Schizosaccharomyces pombe: one gene and its partners. The protein of the gene in region 2 interacts with the protein of the main gene of each other region in a biochemical or structural test. Each region holds a gene or a part of one and is shown on either strand. Other genes may lie near its edges.

What was found.
Region 1: the proteins of dis2 (region 2) and spc7 form a complex in vitro, tested with the Schizosaccharomyces pombe proteins (one study listed by BioGRID).
Region 3: of the proteins of dis2 (region 2) and cdk9, one has a biochemical effect on the other in vitro, tested with the Schizosaccharomyces pombe proteins (one study listed by BioGRID).
Region 4: the proteins of dis2 (region 2) and par1 form a complex in vitro, tested with the Schizosaccharomyces pombe proteins (one study listed by BioGRID).

What each region holds. Positions count from the first base shown.
Region 1 is NC_003421.2:785,749-792,307, forward strand, and holds spc7 (outer kinetochore KNL network protein, KNL-1 family member, blinkin, Spc7), read right to left. Parts: upstream 4,913-6,559; 5' UTR 4,867-4,912; coding exon 772-4,866; 3' UTR 541-771; downstream 1-540. UniProt on the Schizosaccharomyces pombe protein: Acts as a component of the outer kinetochore KNL1 complex that serves as a docking point for spindle assembly checkpoint components and mediates microtubule-kinetochore interactions.
Region 2 is NC_003423.3:3,172,627-3,177,119, forward strand, and holds dis2 (serine/threonine protein phosphatase PP1 catalytic subunit Dis2), read right to left. Parts: upstream 2,473-4,493; coding exon 2,421-2,472; exon of another isoform or gene 2,353-2,420; intron 2,072-2,352; exon of another isoform or gene 2,025-2,071; coding exon 1,093-2,024; 3' UTR 539-1,092; downstream 1-538. Other genes in the region: hom6 (homoserine dehydrogenase), read left to right, coding at 4,068-4,107, 4,177-4,493. UniProt on the Schizosaccharomyces pombe protein: Essential role in cell cycle control. PP1 is perhaps required for exit from mitosis.
Region 3 is NC_003423.3:1,468,568-1,473,682, reverse strand, and holds cdk9 (P-TEFb-associated cyclin-dependent protein kinase Cdk9), read right to left. Parts: upstream 3,116-5,115; 5' UTR 3,004-3,115; coding exon 2,861-3,003; exon of another isoform or gene 2,810-2,860; coding exon 2,728-2,809; exon of another isoform or gene 2,608-2,727; coding exon 1,057-2,607; 3' UTR 501-1,056; downstream 1-500. Other genes in the region: DNA-binding forkhead transcription factor, meiotic Mei4, read right to left, coding at 1-489; wdr8 (WD repeat-containing protein), read right to left, coding at 3,596-4,608, 4,648-4,723, 4,796-5,115. UniProt on the Schizosaccharomyces pombe protein: Component of the positive transcription elongation factor b (P-TEFb) which consists of cdk9 and pch1, and which phosphorylates the C-terminal domain (CTD) of RNA polymerase II and spt5.
Region 4 is NC_003421.2:1,474,001-1,478,630, forward strand, and holds par1 (serine/threonine protein phosphatase PP2A regulatory subunit B-56 Par1), read left to right. Parts: upstream 1-1,572; 5' UTR 1,573-1,776; coding exon 1,777-1,800; intron 1,801-1,843; coding exon 1,844-1,939; intron 1,940-1,979; coding exon 1,980-2,193; intron 2,194-2,524; coding exon 2,525-3,279; intron 3,280-3,331; coding exon 3,332-3,630; intron 3,631-3,719; coding exon 3,720-3,978; 3' UTR 3,979-4,103; downstream 4,104-4,630. Other genes in the region: condensin complex non-SMC subunit Cnd3, read left to right, coding at 4,304-4,630. UniProt on the Schizosaccharomyces pombe protein: The B regulatory subunit might modulate substrate selectivity and catalytic activity, and might also direct the localization of the catalytic enzyme to a particular subcellular compartment. Has a role in cell shape control and septum formation.

The DNA of each region.
Region 1 (6,559 bases), on a different chromosome or scaffold from region 2:
ATAAAACAAAACTTCTAAAGAAGTAAATATGTAGAAAACCTGGAAATTAGGGCTCAACCGGCTGTCTGTGAACTTTCGATTGCGGATGCAATCTATTTTTAAGTGTATTAATATTTTTATCAGAAATTGCAGACGAGGTTCAGGAACTTTGACTTACTTAATTAAACTGTGTTCAAAAATAAAAAATGGATAACTTAATAATCCGAGCGAAGCCTAAAAATCTAAAAAACCTCCTATTTCAATTCTGCAAAATTTGAGCTTGCAAACTCATAATTTTGTAAGCAGCGTCTGACTTTCAATTATAAAAATCTAAATATCCGTCCAATTCTCTTAAATTAGTTAAGATCTTTGTTTTGTTTAGGATCGGTCTCTTCTATCGATTGTGTATATATGTATCTAGGAGAACGTAAGATGTCGATCCCGTACTTATCAGATCAATGTGAAACTTTACTACACCAGATTTGCACATCCGAGAATCTTTTAATTATGGATAGTTTATTTATATATTAACTAAACACTTTATTTTGTAGCGCATTACGGGTTTAACAAAAAGATTTATAATTTCATTATCAGTCAAGATCTACCATTATTATTTCACCAATATTAAATAGCATAAAATATATACATTTTCTTTAGTAACATGTGAATTAACGAAAACGAATGAACTAGTATACAACAAGGATAAATGATATTTCCAAGCGTTAAGCACAAAATGAATATTGGGAAAGGAAGTCGCTTCGGCGCAGCATAGCTAATCATTCCCATTAATATCTAGCTGTATTTGTTCCAAACAGTAAGACAAGCAGACGAAAGGGCATAAGTTGATGTACAATGCACCACTTCCGAAAGAGTATTCAAAACCTCACTAACATAAGAGTCTCCTTCACTTTCCGCATACATCTGTTTCACAGCGACTGATGTAGAAGCATAAAACTTTCCTACTTCAGTAGTTTGGTAGATAGTATCAATTGGGAGACCGAAAACAACCTTTACCTTAGATGATACCGAACGCAGGTATAGCTCAACATTTATGATAATAGACTTATCATCATTTTCAACTGACAAAAAGGGCCAATGGTACCATAATCGCTGGAAATCTTGGACAAGATAAACAATTTGTTCCCAACAAATTGAAACATCGTTAAGATACTTCTTCAGAAGACGTAAGTTCCTAGAAAATACCTTGGAATGCCATTTAGAAAACGACGATGCAACATGCTCGAGCACATTTGAGCTGCAAGCATTACTTTCGTTAGGGAACTTACAGGCAATATCAACGTTAACTTGGAAATTTTGCCTCAAAATCTCAACCGTAACCTCGGCTGAATAAGGAGAAAGAGCAGTGTTATTTGTAGCTAATTTAATTCCGCCCGCGGTCAAAGAAACTATGGTCCAGCCAAGTTCATTTTTAAGATTTAACAACTGCTCCTCGTATCGCTTAATTTCGTCAAATTCAAAATCTTGGTTTTTCGCATAAAAATCTTGTTCAGCGTTGGTACGTAATTCCAAATCAGAGCAAGAGTTTGTCACTTGTTCTATCTTTATTGCCAACTCCTTTCTTCTTTCTTCTTTTTCACTCAGAAGCCGACGTCTCCTCTCAACCTCAACCTTGAGTTTCTCTAACTTTTCTTGCGCCTGCGCTAGAAGAGTTGAGTCATACTGATTTGCAAATTCCTTCTGCTTCTTTAATGTCTGTACTGTAGTAATACTACCATTGTATCTCTCTTGAATTTCCTGCGCATACGGATGAATAACATTCGCGACATCCATTAAATGGGTCAAGCTTCTTTGCATCCCAGTTAAATTTAAATTTAATTCATGTTTGATTCCTTGCATCAAACCCTCACGCCATTCGTACCAATCACCTTTTGCTTGAAGTCTAGCAAAAGTTTTCATCATTAAAAATTGTGAATCCATTAAAACCCTCATATCACTGGATGCTTTCCTATACTCATAGAATAGTAACGGGTTCTCTTTCAAAGTTTCCTCTTCAATTTTAGTAACAAAATCCTTCCCTTCGGCAATATAATCCTGTAATTGCTGACAACTAAATTTGTATAACTCTAACAAAGGGAATTGTATGTAAAAAGATTCCAAAAGTTCTTGGATACTGCATTTCTTATTTTCTTCAGCATTTGGCAATAGGGTTTCTCGTCTTTTAGCAATAGTAAGATTATCCAAAAATTCAATTCCGGTCATTTTAAGAAAATCTGATAGGCTTATCGGCTCGACGTTTGGTAGAGTTGGCATCGTATCAAATTCTGGCTCATTACCAACAGGTATTTCTTCATTTGGACCAGAGTCTTGATTCAAAATGTTCGTGTTAATAGTCGAAGCGCCCAACGATGTATCAACATTGCTCACACCTTTTGATAATTTGACGGGTGACTTCTCATGTTCATTCATGCCCACGGAAGTTGTATTACCTGCATTTGACGAACCAACTTGAACAAGTTCATTCCGGTTGGGTTCCTGAGATTCCAATCGCTCCAAACTAGTTGAATCGGCGTAATCTGCAGTTGTTATACGCTCTTTTTCATCCTCATTCGAAGGTTGTTGAGGAAGCTTAACAGAAGAAGTCGTATTAGTTGGAACGTGCTTAATTTCGTTAGTCTGTTGAATTGTTAGTCGCTCTGTTTTACTCAATCCAGAATCAACATCTGCATTAGACACTTGTTCGCCTTTGTCATCAGTGGGTTGCCTTGAAACTTCTTCAGGAAGACTTGAAAGCGGCTTTTCTGTGGTGAATGGCTTCTCTGCGGTAAGTGGAGTAGCTCCTAGACGATAATTTTCGGATCGCTCAACCGATTTATAGAGACCAGAATTTACTTTTTTTTCGAAAAAGTTAACCGGTAGAAGTTCTCTGTCATTCAAAGTTGAAATTGATTTTCGAGCATTACGGATTGTTGCAAGACGATTGCGACGCAAGGTACTTTGATCAAAACTTGAAGTGCTATATCTTAAGCGTCTTTTCCGAGTACCAAGCTTATCAGTAGGAGTCGCTACCACATGTCTACTTGGAGAAGAAGAGTTAGGATCTTTCGAAAATTTTAGATTATTGTTCCCATTTGGTGACCGTTCATGGTTGGTAAAGGAGGTAGTATTGAAATTTTCTGACTTATCACTATATGAGGGTATTTCTTCTCTCTCGGCATTTTCCTTGTCTGCTGAAGGTAACTCAACATTGTTTCCACGGATTTGAAAAGCCACTGTTTCGTCCATAGCAGCTTCTTCCACCTCAAGATGAGATGTAGAATTCTCACAAGGAAAAACTGTTGAGGTTAATTCCATTGGTTGCTCTTCGGAAAGTGCTTCTTTAGAAGGGGATAATATATTGAAAGGTCTAGTAATGTCCATAAAGTCCTCACTGTCGGGAATGGGCTTTGAAGAATTGGCAGTCTTGTTATTATCCTTTCTCGGTTTTGAAGAAGAGGATATATTTGAGGTAAATTGATTTAAATCATCTTCATTCAAATGGGTGGGTGCATTTGTAGAGCTAATGGGTTGTGTCAAGTCCATTATTTGCTCTTCCATGGATCGTGACGATGGACGAATGGGGGAAAGGAGAGTTAAATGTGAGTTTTCGATATTAAAGGCGGAGGTGGTATCCATTTCTTCTTCTCCATTAGTTAAATCGTTCGGAGAATGATTAGTTAAGTGAGGATTAGCATTAATTGGTCGGGTAAGGTTCATAGGCGCTTCTTCTAAGTTTTGTAAATCTAAGCCATTGGAAAAATGAGACACTGGAGATAAATTAATGTTATTAGAGGTAATATCCATGTCAACAATAGCTTCTTGGGAAGTTAAAGGGCGAGCGATGGGGGAAAAGTGTTGCGGAATTTCAATAGGTCGAGTTAGCATCATATCTTCTTCTTCTTCTTTATTTTCCGACTGATCGTGATTTTCGTTATTTTTGGAGAAATCCGAAATTTCAATACTAGTTGGACTAGATGATTTGTTAGGGGATGAAAGTTGAGTTTGGTTTGAAGGGTCATGAGAAGCTTTTAAACTATAAACAGTACCTTGCTCGCTAGAGCTAAGACCTTTAATTGATTCGGAATGTGATAAAAACGAATCTGCTTCTTGGAATTGGATAGTCAAATCCATGTTAGTTTCCTCTCTATCATTAACCTGCTCTCTCGTGGCATCGTGAACATCAAGTGCCTTTTCTGCTTCAGGTAAGGCTTTTGTTGGATTCTGGATACTTAAATCATCATTCTCCGGATACAGAGAAGGAGGCGGATGGCCAGCATTCAATGCCTCAGAGACCATATCTGATTCGGTTGACCGAATAGGGGACGCAATGTCCATATCACTACCGTCTGAAATAATCGAGGCACTATGACTATGGGGAGATGATTGTGTTTCGTTTCTCGAAAAACTTGTCGTTGTTGGACCTTTAGGGGAATGGTTTTTAGCATCAGATGCAAAAGTTCGCTCAGGTGTGCTGTGATTAGATGTCGACTTTTCCGAGTCACTCTGGTGATCTTTAGGATACCAACGTACACGTGCATGACTAGCAAAGGAAACTCTTCTGTTCAAACTTTTTCTAGACGTCTCACGCGACAATTGCTGTAGGTCTTCCATTTGAAGTCTCTTTGACGCAGCCATAACATTACTAGAGATTCCAATGACCGTGTTATTTATTTGTGTGTGTATATCATTAAAGTCTTCATCTCCTGTGAAAGCGGGATCTACGGAAAAGGATGAATAACTCTTTAGAATGCCTTTTGCTGGATTTGTGTGTTCTTTAAGTTCTTGAAGCGCACCAGGTCCTCCAAGCGAGTGTGGACGCTTCCTACTTTTGTTTCTTCCTATAACATTATCGGTCGTCGCTATACTATTGCGACGAGGCGATGTTGGCATCGTCAAGTTAAACAAAGCACGTCGACACACGAACTTTGTTGTTTTTAGATTAAGACGAACATAAGAAATTGTAATGATAGTTCGTTAAATTTATGGCGGTGAGTTTCTTTTTGCGGCCTAGAACGCCTTTCGTTGTATTATTTAAGGAGTCTGTAAGCCTTTTTAGGATACGGTAGACTACGATGATGCTTTCTGTAATCATTCCTGTTAGCTAATCTGAATAAATAATGAATAAAGATCCTATTTGTAAAAGTTCCAATGAACAATATGACTGTTGTTCATTCTTATCATTAACAAATTGTATAAAGTAAAGGTAAATTGGGGGTACTTTTGTTCAACTGGGTCTATTTGTAATATTGGGTTTTCTGTAAACAATAAGGTAATGAGCATCACAAGCATATGCGCACTGTGATGGAGGAATACAAACTTCAAAAAGGTATAGATATCTAAGATTCACTTGAATGTTTTGTCAAATGAGCCGCACTGTTCTTTTGGCATAATTTAATGGATTAACTTGAAAGCAATGTGCGGTTGTAAGAAGTATAAGTAAATTGTAGCGAGGTTGTTATAAATTATTATTTCGCAAATTGTATATTATAATAATACTCGTGAATATTCCTTTAAAGGAGTGTGTTTATTTAATATCATTCCAGCGGCTTATAATCAATAATCGAGAAAAAAACTGTTTATTGTTAGTATTTCTATAATTTGATGGATATTGCCATGAACTTACAACCACATGTAATTCTATGTTCTACTTTCCATTGAGGTTCTCGTAACCTGTTCCATCATTGTTTACTATTCAAAAGTGGTTATAAAAGGTTACCGGCTAAGCAAATATAAGCTAGCTCATTCTGAACTATTTCCTGTTCATTTCCATGGTTATACTTAGCCATAGTGAAATTGACCAGACATTAATTCGTGTACTTTTCCTTTTACGATGATATATTGATCACAAATAGAAATTATAAATCCTTTTAAGTCAGATTACGATTGCGTTGCTAAGACCTGAAATTGATATATTATGTACTATAATCCATATGTGTTATTAACAACACTAATGCTTTCAAATCACAGTAAAGCTTAGTAACATAACTAGCATTTGTACAACATTTAAATGAGTAAAAAAAAAACAAGTATGGCTGAGCTCGCTTGTCTTAATATTTTTTATTAGAATGATAAATCATATACCACGATTAGGATTTCTTTGAAGAATGGAAATACAAAAGGACGTAAAATGTTTATATTCGGCACAGGAAGGATAGCGTTGTATAAACGAATGATAATTGTTCAGTATTTCAAACAAGTAAGGCTTTTGTCATCAATACTAACATTCTTTTTTTTTTTTTAAATCCGGGAAATTGACAATTCTTACAATTGGATATTTGTAAATCCCGTGTATCCCGTAGTATGGTATGATATTCTATTCGTTGCATTTGGTATAAGCCTTCAAATACGAGCAGACTTGGTTAGCCCAATATCATTCTCCCATTTGGATTTAGTCAATGTTACGATATAAATGGTCACAAATCTCCGGTATCGTAATGTTATCCAGTTTCAAACGACATAACATGTTTCAATTTAATAATGACTTATTAATAGTTGCATAACTACTGTATTTCACTAGAATCCTTTACTTAGCATAATGTGTGTGACATGATAAAAAGGGCGTCAGACATCTTCTCTGAGGAAG
Region 2 (4,493 bases):
TTTTGGATTTCTAAAATGAGAATCTCGTTTGATTTGTGCTTCTAAAAATAAAGGTAGTCTGCCGGTTAAATTTAAAGCGAATGCGTAGAGTAAGCTCTTACTGGATGTATATGAATAGCTGTGACGTTCTGTTAATCTAAAGTAAATTGTATCATTGCACTTTTTAACAAAATTACCCGTGAGATTAATTGCGGTTGAACTTGTTTTTCGTGCTAGACTGATGATTCGCCCTTATACATATTGGCTAACTTTCGGCTAATCTTCACCGAATTTAGTCAAGAATTGGGTGGTACAAATTTTCTATTAATTGATAGTACCTTAGCAGCAGTATAAATCTGAATTTCTTAATATTATTATTGTGTTCATAGACTTGTTAGTGAGTACTCTGCTAACTCGCCGGTAAATAGCTGTAATGATAATAAGCACCTTACTCTCTCTTACGATTAAACGGTGGCTTTATATTATCAAATCCCAAGGAATGCCGAAACATTGTATAAGCCTACTGTATATAAACGTGTGAACTACCATAAAATAGCATCACTGAAAAGGAAATTTGATTGCATAGTAGTATAAACAATAACTAAATAGGCAAATTATTTTCCAACGTGAGACCAGTATACATAATTGAAATGAAAGACCTTTAAACAAAATTGTCAATGGTCATTATAAAGGATTCCACCGATAGCAAACAGAAGCTTGCAGCGGAAAATGCCATCATCAACGTTAAGCACTCTCTCGAAGATAAGAAGTATAAAGTAGTTCAAACAACTATTGCTCGGTAAAAACATCCGTCTTTTAAGCGTCAGATTTTGTTAAAAAAGGGAATTTAGATGATGAAAAATAAAAGGCAATAGTCTATATACATCTAACAATTGACGGAAAAGAAAGAAAATGAATAATGAAATGGTAGTGCAAAAAATAATTTCTTAAAAGAACATTCAGTTATTTCATGAACAATTAATCATCGACCATTGAGAAATGACGAAAAGAAATCCGTTCAAACAGCTACATAAAGCGGTATTATCGTCGAATTGTTGCTTGTGGAAAATGAAACCAACAAAAAAGAATGGGAGAAATTGGATTGAGCTTAAATTACTTTGAATTTCCTGTCTTATTCTTCCGAGGTGGAGTCATGTGCCAATTTTGACTTGAACCTTGGTATCCGTAGCGTTGTTTTTTTTCAGCCGGTTTCAAAATCTGGAAACTGCACAACAAGCTCTCGTCAACACTCATCATCGCACCTGCATTATCAAACTCGCCACAGTAATTAGGTGCACTGAACAATGTGACTAGCTGACGTTTAGAGAAGAACTCATAACCGTCTTCCACAACCTGATGGGCTCGGCAAACAAGATCCATATCGTGTTTGTGCAAAAACCGAGAGACAACATCAGGTCCAAACGTGAAAGAAACACCTCTATCATTATCACCCCAGCCTGTAAGATCCTTGTCAGGATCAGACCAAAGTAAATCACAGAGTAACCCAGTATCAGGGACATCGGTCGGTCGCATGATTCTTTGGATCTGGTCCATAGAGTTCAAATCTGGCGAAAGACCTCCATGCATAGTAAAAATTTTTTCATCAATGATAGCTGCTATAGGAAGGCAGTTGAAGCAATCTGTAAATGTTTTCCATAACTTAATGTTATAACGGCGCTTACATTCATCGTAAAATCCATAGATACGATTAATACTGGCGCATTCATGATTTCCACGTAAAATAAAAAAATTTTCGGGGTACTTGATTTTATAAGCGAGCAAAAGACAAATTACTTCCAAGCTTTGTTTTCCTCTGTCAACATAATCACCTAGAAACAGATAGTTGGCTTCTGGAGGGAATCCTCCGTACTCAAAAAGTCGAAGAAGATCGTAATATTGGCCATGAATATCTCCACAAATTTTCAAAGGAGCTTCAAGCTCTAGAAGGATAGGTTGACTAATAAATATTTCACGTGCTTTGTTACATAAAAATCGTATTTCATCTTCAGATAATTGAACCTGTCTACCTGGACGACTACCACGGACTAAAAGAAGTTAGTAAATAGCTAAATGGTTTAAATGGTAAAATTAAGGATGGAAGTATTGGTTAGAAAAATCATTCACACAGAAACACGATATATGCCAATATGCAATCGCATTTGAATACAAATATGCGTGATTATGTATATAAAGCAAGTGTCATCACAAATGAGACCAAGAATCAAAGAAAATGCTTTCTAAACGTTTTCAAAGAAAAAACTTTCCCTTTTTCCTGGGTTTTCCTCAAATTTTATGAACAGTTGAATGAACATTTACATAGAGTCGTTTCCAGTTTCTTCATGTAAATTATTGTATTAAACAACAACTGATTTCAATTTCCTTTCAAAAATTTGTCTAAACTCAACCCTTCATCATGATCAAGTCTGCTTTTCCCCACTCACCTTCTAACAAGCGGTCGATAATGGAATCCAAATCCACATCTGGGTTCGACATTTTACAGGTATCCAATATAACCGCTTTTGACACTTATGAAGTCAAATTTTTGGGTCTGTGATTAATTTTTTACTCGACCGAATTTCGACGATTTTTCTTCCAAGTAAAGTGTTCCGAGGAAAAGTAAGACGGACGGAGAACGGTATTCAGTCGGCAAACCGTTTAAAAGCAATATTTGCTGCTAACTCAGAAATAAAGGTTATGGCTAACAGTAGGAAACTGGAGTGAGTTGTATGTAGTAGGTAGTTGAATGGTTGGGTGGTGGGTGTACAACGAGCTTGATGCATAATATGTGCCTACTTTCCTATATTCCTAGTTTCTATAATCACTACTACATTAAAAAAACGTATATAAACCTATAATTAAATTACTTTGGAATTCTTTTCTTATATTAATTGTTGATTTTAAACAACCCTCTAAATCTTGCTGCTCTACAAATTGTCTAGCAAATTGATTCAATTTTCTTTATTAATAAAAGGTGAAGAATAATTTAAATATTTTAAGAGATAGCAACCTACTTCAAGATAATATCGGTTTATTGTTTTGCAAGAAAACTTCATTAGAATTTAAAATGGTATATTCAGAACATTTTAATTTCGCAGTATTTTATCATAATATTTTATTTTCTTCTAAGCTTGATTTAGAAAATAAATAAATAATTTAATGTATGTTATCTGAACTTTTAAATTGAAAAAGCTGCACCTGCTTATGATTTGAGTTTGCTAATCATAATAATATGCATATATAATTAACAAATTATATAGTCAGATTGGTTTCATTACAGTTTTTCATTTTCTTGAACCCTAGACTTTTCTCTTCAAAAATCTCTTTTTTTTTTTTTTTTTTTTTTTTTTTTAATAATAAAAAAGCAAATTTGATGGATGGAATGTGATTTATTTAGACACTTAGCAGCATATAATTTAATTTACGAAGCAAAAAATTAAATATTTTTTTTCACGAGTCGATAAACACTAATAAATCACATAAGTTGATTAAGTGGTTTTTATTAATTGTAAAAGTAAATATATGATTGTATGCCATTGAATCCCATATATGAAATTTAATGCGTTATATTTATAATTTGTGATTAATTTATATAAATCGGCTTCTATACTAGATTTCTAGCTAAGTTTATTTAGCGGAGCTTCAATAAAACAAAATCAAATTAAATAAAATTTGTATCAAACGAAATCAACATCATTATTGCTACAGTAATAGATTTTGCGCTTTTGAGTATTATTACAAATATGTTCTGACTCGATTAATATAATGTCGCTCACATTTTGTTCACAACAAATATACCTGCAAAACTTTGATATCAATCAGAGAGAAAGATCCTTCCTTGGTTGAAAACTCATTTTTGGGTATAAAATAAACTCTTCTAAAAAATGTTTGGTATGACAATATTTAGACATGGAAAAAATTTAAATCTCCCTAAATTATCTACACTTTCTAAAATTTTATTTCCCTACAACAAAATTATCAATTCGTATATCACCTCTTCCAAAGTTTCCTTTGAGAAAACCCTTGTCACTGCTTTTCGTAATCCGACCCAACGTCGTAGCATCTCTACCTCTCCCACCCACTATTTGAAAATGTCAGCTAGCAGAACTAACGTTAACGTTGCTATTGTTGGTAAGCACACAATAAATTGAATGCTTGAATGTTTTGTAAAGCGAAAGCTAATCACTTAAAAATAAATAGGTACAGGAAACATCGGCGGTGAACTCTTAAACCAAATTAAGGGTTTTAATGAAAACGCTTCTACCAATGGCACTACCTCTTTTAACGTTGTTGCCATTTCTAGTATGGAAGGTCACTACGTCTCCAAGGATTATCAGCCCATTAATTTGTCTGAATGGAAGAACCTTACTTCTCAGAACCAAGGTGCTTATTCATTAGATGCTTTGGTAGATTTCCTTGCCAAGTCCCCCCTTCCCGCCATTTTGGTCGATAACACTGCCTCTGAAGCAATCGCTCAATCTTATCCTAAATTTTTGAGCAAGAAAATCAACATTGCT
Region 3 (5,115 bases), 1.7 Mb from region 2:
CTGCATATGGTCAGGATCAATTGTCCAATAATGACCTTTTAAAGTTTTACCCTTGGGTTTTTCTACTTTGATAAAGGCTTTGTTTAATGAAAGGTTGTGCCTAATGCTATTTTGCCAACCACCATCATGGTTGAGGTAGTAGCGAAACGTGTTGCGAATCCACGTATAAATCCCGCTTAAAGTCAGTTGCTTGTTATGTGATTGTAGGATCGCCAAACCGATTAATGTAGCATAAGAACACGGTGGTTTTTCACCAGTATCCACAAAGCCCGCCATTTCATCTCCAAATATCATTTGTCGTATACTGTCACTACTCAGGTTTTCTTTATTCTCTTCACGAAGCAATGCTTCAGTTTCGCATTTTTCTTTAGAAGACACATTGGAAACATTTTGAGAATCATTAATTTTTGAAGATTCCTTTAATGAAAGGCTAAGTATGACCTTTTTGGGTTTACCATGTGCTTCGACATTCCCTTGATTTTCAACCATTTGAACAATTTAATAATTTTTAGAGTACTGATTATTATATTTATTAGGTAATTATTAATGGTATTTGTGTTATTTTGACTCTGTTTTTGGATGACGGGTTTTGTAGTAGGTAGGTGGGAGAGGGCTGGTCAAGCCGTATACAAACAAGAGGTATTTAACCGAGGTCAAAACATGGGTATGGGAAGGGAAGAAAATACCGTAAATATGTAAACACAAGCAAGGAAAAAAGCAGTTTTGTTGAAAATAAAGTAATTTTCTTTCCAATACATTACTTACAAGTCATGTTTTAAGATTATAAATTTAGTAAATAAATAATACAAATAAAAATCTCCGTGCTCAATTTGCTAAGGTCAAGCTTTTAAAGAAAAAAGAAATATAATTAATTTTCTTTGCTTTTTCCTTTTTGTTTTAAATTTTATTTTGAGCTAGAAAACCAACTTTGGCCTTTAATGAACAGTCGCCATCACGCGGAAAGGCCATTAAAAATATTATGGGATGCTCAGCAAATTAAGTTAATTTAAGATATGAAGAGAAAGCCAAAAAGTAAAAAGAGCACATTCGTATGGATCATTTAGGAGTGTCATCAACGTTGGAATTTTCATGAAAAGAGGGTGACTTCAGATCAGATGTGGATTGTTGGTGCAAGCTAGTAGAAGATGGATGTTGCTCGTTGGTCTTTTGGTTGGCAGATTGTCTAGCAATTGAGTATTCAGGAACATATGAGTCAATGTACTTAATATTGTGTTGTGTTTTGTTGGTATCCGCATTTTCGCTTGCTCGAGATGTCGTTTGTACTTTGCTATTATTCTGGTATCTGGAGGACACATTCCATGCTGGTTGTTGAGACTGGGAAGATTGTCTTCCTTGACGGCCGTAATCCGAGGGGTTTCTTAATCGTTGAGATCGGTCTTGTTCAGGCCGGTAGTAGCGTTGACCGTCTGCATGAGAATGATTAGAAGTTTGATTCATAGCGTTAGTTTCAGAAAATTCGGAATTTTTCTGTGGCAAATCAGACGTTAAAGGTTTAAAATTTTGCTGACGCTTAGGCTGATAATTAACATTACGACTTCTATCCATGTTACCGCCTTCACGATTGTACGAACCACGTTGGTATTGCGGTTGTGAGTTATAATTTGGCCGACGAATTCCATACCACGGATCGCTAGGTCCACGAGTCATGAACCGGAACTGTCTCTTACCATTAGCGGTTTGTTCAAACGCATGTGAATTAGCATCTCTCTGTTCTCTTTTCCTTCTTTTGTCGTACTCATGAGAAGCACTGTAGCTCTGTAGTTCAGAAGGGTTTGCTGGATATGGTGGTGTTGTAAAATATTCATGCTCTAAAGCCATTGAAGCAGATAAACGTTCATCCGGATTAAGGGTCAAAATAGCACCGCAAAGAGAAGTCATTTCCTTTCCGAAAGTAAAAAATGCAGTTTCAAGTGTTCTAGGGTGTGAAGGAAAAGAGCGAACGCCTTCGCACCCAGGAAGCTTTTCCCAATTTGGCATAGTAGCTTGAGTTGGTGATCCACAAAGGCGAAAGATTTTATCCAATTGGTCCAAATCACTACTTCCTTGAAGGATTGGCCTTCCTTTATACATTTCGGCCATGATGCATCCCACGCTCCACATATCAATAGCGGTAGTGTAACGACGCTCGCCAAGCAAAAGTTCTGGTGATCTATACCAGCGTGTAACCACACATCCAGTGTATTCTCTACGATTAGGTGGAGGCAAGCCAGGATTTTTGTTTGCATATGACTCCTCCGTTATCACACGTGCGAGACCAAAATCGGCAATTTTTAAAATCCCGTGATTATCAATCAATAAATTAGCAGCTTTAAGATCTCTATGAAGGATAAGCTGATCATGTAAGTATTTGGTTCCAGCAAACAATTGCTTCATATAGCATTTAATTTGCGGCTCCGTGAATTTTACACTTGGATTTTCTAATAAACCTGAAAGGTCATGATCCATATAAGGAGTCACCATATATATAGAACCACGACGTCGATGCTTCTTGTCTGCACGAACAACAGTCATATCAGATAATGGAATAATATTCTCGTGTTTAATCGATTTTAAAATTTTTATTTCGCGAATGGCTGTAATGGGAAACTAAAATGTAATGCTTTAGTATTTATTCATGAATTAATTAAAACAATTAACGCAATCAAGTCGATGCGTCCCAAGTCATTCTGTCAAAATGAACAAGAATCTAAACAAACATCTACTTACACCTTCCTTTTCAGTATGCATGAGTATTCTTTTCAGCGCATATACCTTCCCGTCCTTACGCCGCTGCGATTTGTAAACTTCGCTGGTGAACCAAGTTAGTGATAAAATTCAAAATCAGATATTTGACACATACCCAAATGTTCCTTCTCCTAATTTTTCCATTAAATGATAATCCGTTAAATGGCTGCACCCTACAAAATGAAGTTTGGGTACGACATCTAATTTTCTCCTTGCTGATTTCTCATCTTCGACAGAAACGCTGCTTGAGCGTTTCATTTTTTTAACTTATATTATACAAAAGATCCCAACGATTAGTGAATAAAGTTAATTATACAAATTGTAGTATAAACCCGATCGATGCGCGAAATGTTGCATCTGATGAGGATATAGTGGAAGTGGACCCAACTATCAACTATATGCATTAAATACGGAGGCGAAGTAAAATGCGCTATGTTTCAAAATGAGAAAACAATACTGTAAGTATAGAGAATAAACAATGCTTTTTATAAAGGGAAAAAGTTGCATTAGTTTTAAATATCTTTCAAAGGACTCCCTAATCTCAAATAAATGCGCAAAGTTTACAATTTATGAATCAGGAAAGAGTAGTTATTAAAACTCAGGAATAGTACGTACTAAATTTAGAAAAAGATAGTTGAATAGACTGAAAAAGACATTCAAACTATAAGAGGTATGCAAAGGCCTTAAGCTGACGGGGTGCTCAGGGTGCTCATGTTTTACATGCGGGAACAATGAACGTGCATTAAAATATTATAGACATTAAGCGAATTAATTAGGTCGTTAGTAAAATAAAAAGAATATTTAAAAATGGTTACAATAATTAAGACTTTTAAGATAGAAAGTAAATCCCTTAAGATGGTATGGAAATCGTTTGCGTTGTTTCTAACTCATTATCTAAAACTTCTTGAGAAATTATAGTTTGAGTAACTTCGGTAAATGATTCATCTTCATCTTCCACAATGTAAGCAACGGTATATGCATCTTCACCACAAATTACTATAACTGGACGAGAACTGAATTCTGATGGTTGAAGCCATTGAACCTTCTGAATATTAAAACCTTTTTTTGGAACTCCAACGACCCTGGGTGTATTCCAACTTAAAGCCCAGAAGTATAGGAATGTAGCATTAGACGGAATTTTGGATTCTTTCCTAATTTTTGTTTGAATGACCACCAAATCGGGACGACCTGGATGCCATTCAAAATACACTATATGATGTTTTTGAATAAGAACAGTGTGCAGTTTTTTATTCTGTAAATTCCATAGCCAAAGAACATTAGGATATTTAGAAGTAATTGTAGCAGCATACGTCTCATCACAGTTGAAACGTATTTTTGATGCTGAACAAAAGGAGGGTTCTGGGAAATCGGTTCTGAGTTTATGTACTTTTTGATAAGTCATTTGTTGCTCATAGATTGTTTCCTTCTCTTCCCATATATGCATTTCCAAGTCAGTATTGGTATATTGCAAACAATGGTGAAGTCGAAAAACTATACTAAAAGTTTTTGTTTCAAGTAGATGTAAGGTTGAATCATGGTAACTGCACAAAGTTAGATATTTGCCAAAGGGACTCCACTCAAAATCGGAAAAGCCGACTTCAATTAACCTATTTGGTCGATATTCGTGAAAAAGAAGACCGGTGCGATGATAAATATAAACAACTGCATCTAATACGTTTTCCAAAACAGCTAACCAGTTTCCATCTGGCGACCAATGGATACCCGTCGAATCTATTGTAGGAAGCTTACACTCTTTAAGAAGTATCCATGCCTTTTTGCTGATTTGGTAAAATTGAAGGCAATCCGAACCGTTAAAACGAGATAATATAGTACAGAATTGCATGGATGGATGTAAAGCGTAAACTAAACAGTCAGTAAATTGATATATCAGACAAGAAATACCTTTCGAAACATTGGTTTTTACATGTGGAAGCAAATAACCTTTCTGGGTATTTAAAGACCACACAGTAATCTTCGACTAAAAAATTTGCTATTAGCATCGCAGATATATAAGCAAAAAGTTGTGCAAATTTTATTAGATACAACGTACATCAAAGGACGACCAGAGAAGCAGTTCTCCAGACGGGCTCCAGCTGATACTACTCAAAGGATCCTGGTCGCACTGTATGCTAGCATAATAATCGTGTTGTACAATATCTAATACAAACACTTTATCAACTGAGGCAACACAAATTTGATGGCATTTTTCTGCTCCTAAATTGGGTTTCCATAACAAGTATACAACCTTTTGAATGAATTGAGCGTTTAGAAGGAACACATGGTGAAGCTCGAGGGTTTCAGAATTTCGAATTAAGACATGCCCAGAGCGAGATAAAGACGCAATCCAATTACCACAATGTGAAACACTTG
Region 4 (4,630 bases), on a different chromosome or scaffold from region 2:
AGCATTATTGTCAAAAGAAGACGAAAACTCAAAAATTTTTTTAAGTTAAAAGACAATGGAAAATGGAAGCACTCCATTTTCCATTTTCACGCTGTCTGTAATTCACCAATCCATCGTAATGATGGAAGCTTGAACAAGCTAGTTAATTGTTATGTATGTTTTTCCTCATACATTGGAAGTTAGACTATGAATAGAAATAATAACTGGACTATACCTCTTTAGAAACAAATACAACAAAAAGCAAAAAGAATAAAAGGAAGCCTACAGCACCCCGGATTCCCATGTTGTCTCCAACCATAGTACTAACGAGGCCCTCAGACGCTTAACTGCAGTGATCGGACGGGAACTGGTGTTTTCACCTAGGTATGGCCGTAGACATTTGTTGTGTTAAATAATAGTATTTATTCTGTTATTCAAGTAGGTTAACTAGTGAGTAGTTCATAGAAAAATAACTTGAGAAATGACAATCTTGATATGAATGATCATTGAAATAATTTGAAAACTAAAAAAAAAAAATTGTTCAGATTGATAGGAATGCTACGTTAACAAAAATTGACGATTTACTCGCTCGTACAAAATTGATTTTTATATGCATTCTCAAGTCTAGTGAACTCAACAGCATCTATTCCCTGCGATGCTATTCCTAGTACGAGAATAGGAGTAGTTCACTCGAATGTCTCGTTTCATTGGGGTAGGGAAGGAAACACTTATATATTTACCATACTTTAGTATTTTTATTCGTAACTCTTTTCAAGGAATTTTTTTCAATCCAGTATCATTAGTGCTGTGTCTAAATAAAGAATAAATACCAATTTCAAACCAGTCAATGCATTCGTTTTCGCAACCCACCCACTAGCCTAAGCTATGAAGCCTCAAAAATAATTTGGCGTACAGACATTTTAATCAACATTAAGCTTCACAATAAAATGTCAACGAATGTTTAGTAAAAAGACATTCTGACTATTAACAATTAAAAGACACTACATTTTGTAAAATATATATTATGTACTTAATCTCGTAATGAACAAGCAAGTCCCGAGTGGCTCAATCGGTTTAGAGCGTCTGACTCTTATGATGGTCATCAGAAGGTTGCGAGTTCGAGTCTCGCCTTGGGAGTTAGTTTTTACATTTTTGAGAAATGAGATGCACCGATCACTGACTCAAAGGTTTTGTAAAATAAAGGCTTCATTTAAATTTTCGTTCTTGTATAAAGTAGAAATCAACTGCGAACCCTAAAATGTAACGACCGATAGATCCATACTGTTAGCACGTTGCTGTAAATTTTTTAACTTATTGGGAGATTATGAAATGAGATTGATGTTAGAAAGCTTATAAGCAACATATACAATTACGCTTTTTTTCAGAAATTTGGGTAAGTATCATTTATTTTCTTTGTTTATTGTCAAACCCACTTTCCGATGTACATTAAAGAATCGTTAAATAAAATTACGACCTTTTGTACTTTCGTAGCTTCACGTACCGGTACATTAAACAAAATTTTCAAGTGGTGTTATGTTTCGTTATGTGTGTTTGCTACACGGTATTTCCTCGACCGGATCTCCACCTGTCGGTACATTCCAAAAAAGCAGTAAAAGTGTTAAATTCTCAGAAAGCGGCTGAATTTTCTTCGAAAATTTTGCTATTTAGAAGCGCCTTTACGGTTATATAAGAGCTGCTAAACAGCTTCAAATTGAACTCCCTTTGTCTCCAAATTTGTAGGCTTGTTTTGAAAGCTTCAAAGAAGAAAGGGTTGGAGCGCTCCAAATAGCCCTCAAGATGAAAGGGATTAAAAGCAAAATGGTAAGATCCATATCTAGTGTTTATTTGATTAACCAGAATCTAGCTTTCTCGAGGGAAATCTCAAGATACCCAGAAGTCTAGCAAGAAGAAGGAAAGCAAAAAATCGAATTCCCATGACTCTAGCAAGGCTCCGAAAGAGGTACGGAAAAGGTTTTTACTTACTTTTAACATTTTCATAGTCTCCCTCGACGGATCCCAATGGTTCTGTGATTGGTGCCCAAAACGACTTTCTTACTGTTCCAAAACATTCAGGAAAGAAAGTACCTATTGATACCACACCAACTCCTAGAGATGAGATCTTATTAGAGAATGTCAGGACTGTTCGTAAACAACGTTCATCCCTTTACCATATATCTGAAAATCGAAACCTGGTCCGTCTTCCATCCTTTACTGGTATGTTTTATGGATACACTTCATTGATTGTTTTAAGTAGTTATAAAAGATTTTGTTTCTTATTAGAATGTCATGAAATTGGATGGTGTTCAATGCGGCACATGCTGGTGTCGCTTGTGGATTTACTGTTCAGCTTGATGTGTCTGATATCGAAAAAGGAATCCTTCCATTTTTTCTCACATTTCATTTTATTTTACTAAGAGATGATTTAAACCACAAACATTGAATAGGATTTTCTTTCTGATTTAATGTACTTGGTGTTGACAAACACTGAGGTGTTATCAATATACTTTGTTGTCAACCAATTTAATTTACTAACCTGTCTATTTAGATGTTCCTGTTAATAAATGGCACTCTCTGGCGTTGGAAAAATTAGAACAATGTTGCGTTGTTTTCGATTTCAACGATCCCTCCACCGATCTTTACGGAAAAGAAGTGAAGCGAGAGGCTCTTCAAGATCTCATTGATTTAATATCTGTTCGAAAGGAAGCAATTGATGAGTCATTGTATCCATCCATTGTTCATATGTTTGCAGTAAATGTGTTTCGTCCTTTACCTCCTCCTTCTAATCCTCCCGGTGAAATCATGGATCTTGAAGAAGATGAGCCGGCTTTGGAAGTTGCTTGGCCCCATCTTCACCTTGTTTACGATTTTTTCTTAAGATTTTTTGAATCTCCGTCTTTGAATACATCCGTAGCCAAGGTGTATATTAATCAAAAATTTATTAGGAAATTACTTGTATTGTTCGACAGCGAAGATCCTAGGGAACGTGATTTTCTAAAGACTACACTTCATAGAATATACGGAAAGTTTCTTTCTCTTCGTGCGTTCATAAGGCGCTCAATTAATAATTTATTTTTGCAGTTTGTCTATGAGAACGAGCAATTTAATGGTATTGCCGAACTGTTGGAAATCCTCGGGAGTATCATTAATGGATTTGCCCTACCACTAAAAGAGGAACACAAAATATTCTTGTCACGTGTTCTTATTCCTTTACATAAAGCCAAATCCCTTCCCCTTTATTACCCTCAAATTGCTTATGGAATTGTTCAATTTGTTGAAAAGGATTCATCTGTTACAGAAGAGGTATGTATATTTCCTAGTGTTTCTTACGTTTTATCTAACGATGACAATATAGGTTGTCTTGGGCTTACTTCGATACTGGCCGAAAGTAAATAGCTCAAAAGAAGTCTTATTTTTAAATGAAATTGAAGATATTATTGAAGTGATGGAACCTTCAGAGTTTTTAAAGATCCAGGTGCCGCTCTTCCACAAGTTGGCAACATCCATATCTAGCCAAAATTTCCAAGTTGCTGAAAGAGCTTTATATTTTTTTAACAACGACTATTTCGTGCATTTGGTTGAAGAAAACGTTGACATTATACTACCAATTATATATCCCGCACTCTTTGAAATTTCAAAAAGTCACTGGAATAGGTAAGTAGTTACTCATTTAAAATCCCTTTTTATTTTCTTTATTTAAGATAAAGAAAGTGGTTTATTAGTTCTTGCTGACGTTTTGTTAGAGTTATACATTCTATGGTTTGTAACGTCTTAAAATTGTTCATGGACATTAATCCTTCTTTATTCGATGAAGTTGATGCTGAGTATTCTGAGAGTCGTCGGAAAAAAGAAGATGAAGAAATTATACGAGAAGAAAGATGGACTATACTAGAAAACATCGCTAAAGAGAATGCTATGAAACTTAAATCTCAAAACCCTACTACTGTGCACTCTACTACTGAGAGACTAAAAAAACTTTCACTTGACTACACCAATGGTTAGGACTTGCATATTTTAATAATGATCCATATATTGTACTTAGTCTCTAATATTCCCTCTTTTACATTTTACATACTATATCATTTTCAGTTAGTATTTCCTTTTCTTTTAATTGATTGTAATAAAATATAAATCGGTAACTTGGTAGCAATCTTCTTTTCAAATTGAATGTTGCAATCTCAAGTGGGCCTAAGCTAGAAGGGTTCATTTTTTTGTTTGCATACCCCAGCTTAACCTACCACTGAGAGCCAACTGTAGGTATGCCAGTGAGGTGCTCCTCAACTTCAGCAAAAGCACTAAAATTGGCATAATATAATTGTTATTGAATATGTCTTGCATTCAAATTATTTCATCTAGTCAAACTTCAATTGCTGGTCATAGAAAGCTATGCAACAAATTGTTTACCCTACGGACGCAGGAAGGATTTGAAACCGACATCCTAAGGGCGCTAAATATTATATTAACTGTTAAAAAAGGAAACTCAAATGCTGACCGCGTTTTGAGGTTCCTAGTAACCTTTGTTAATTACCTTCAGCAGAAGGATCCTGAGATAGACATTGTTCAACCTATCTTAAAACATATACTTCGTGGGTTAGATGCCAAAGATAAAACTGTAAGATATCGTTGCTGCCAAATTATTGCCAGAGTGGTTAAT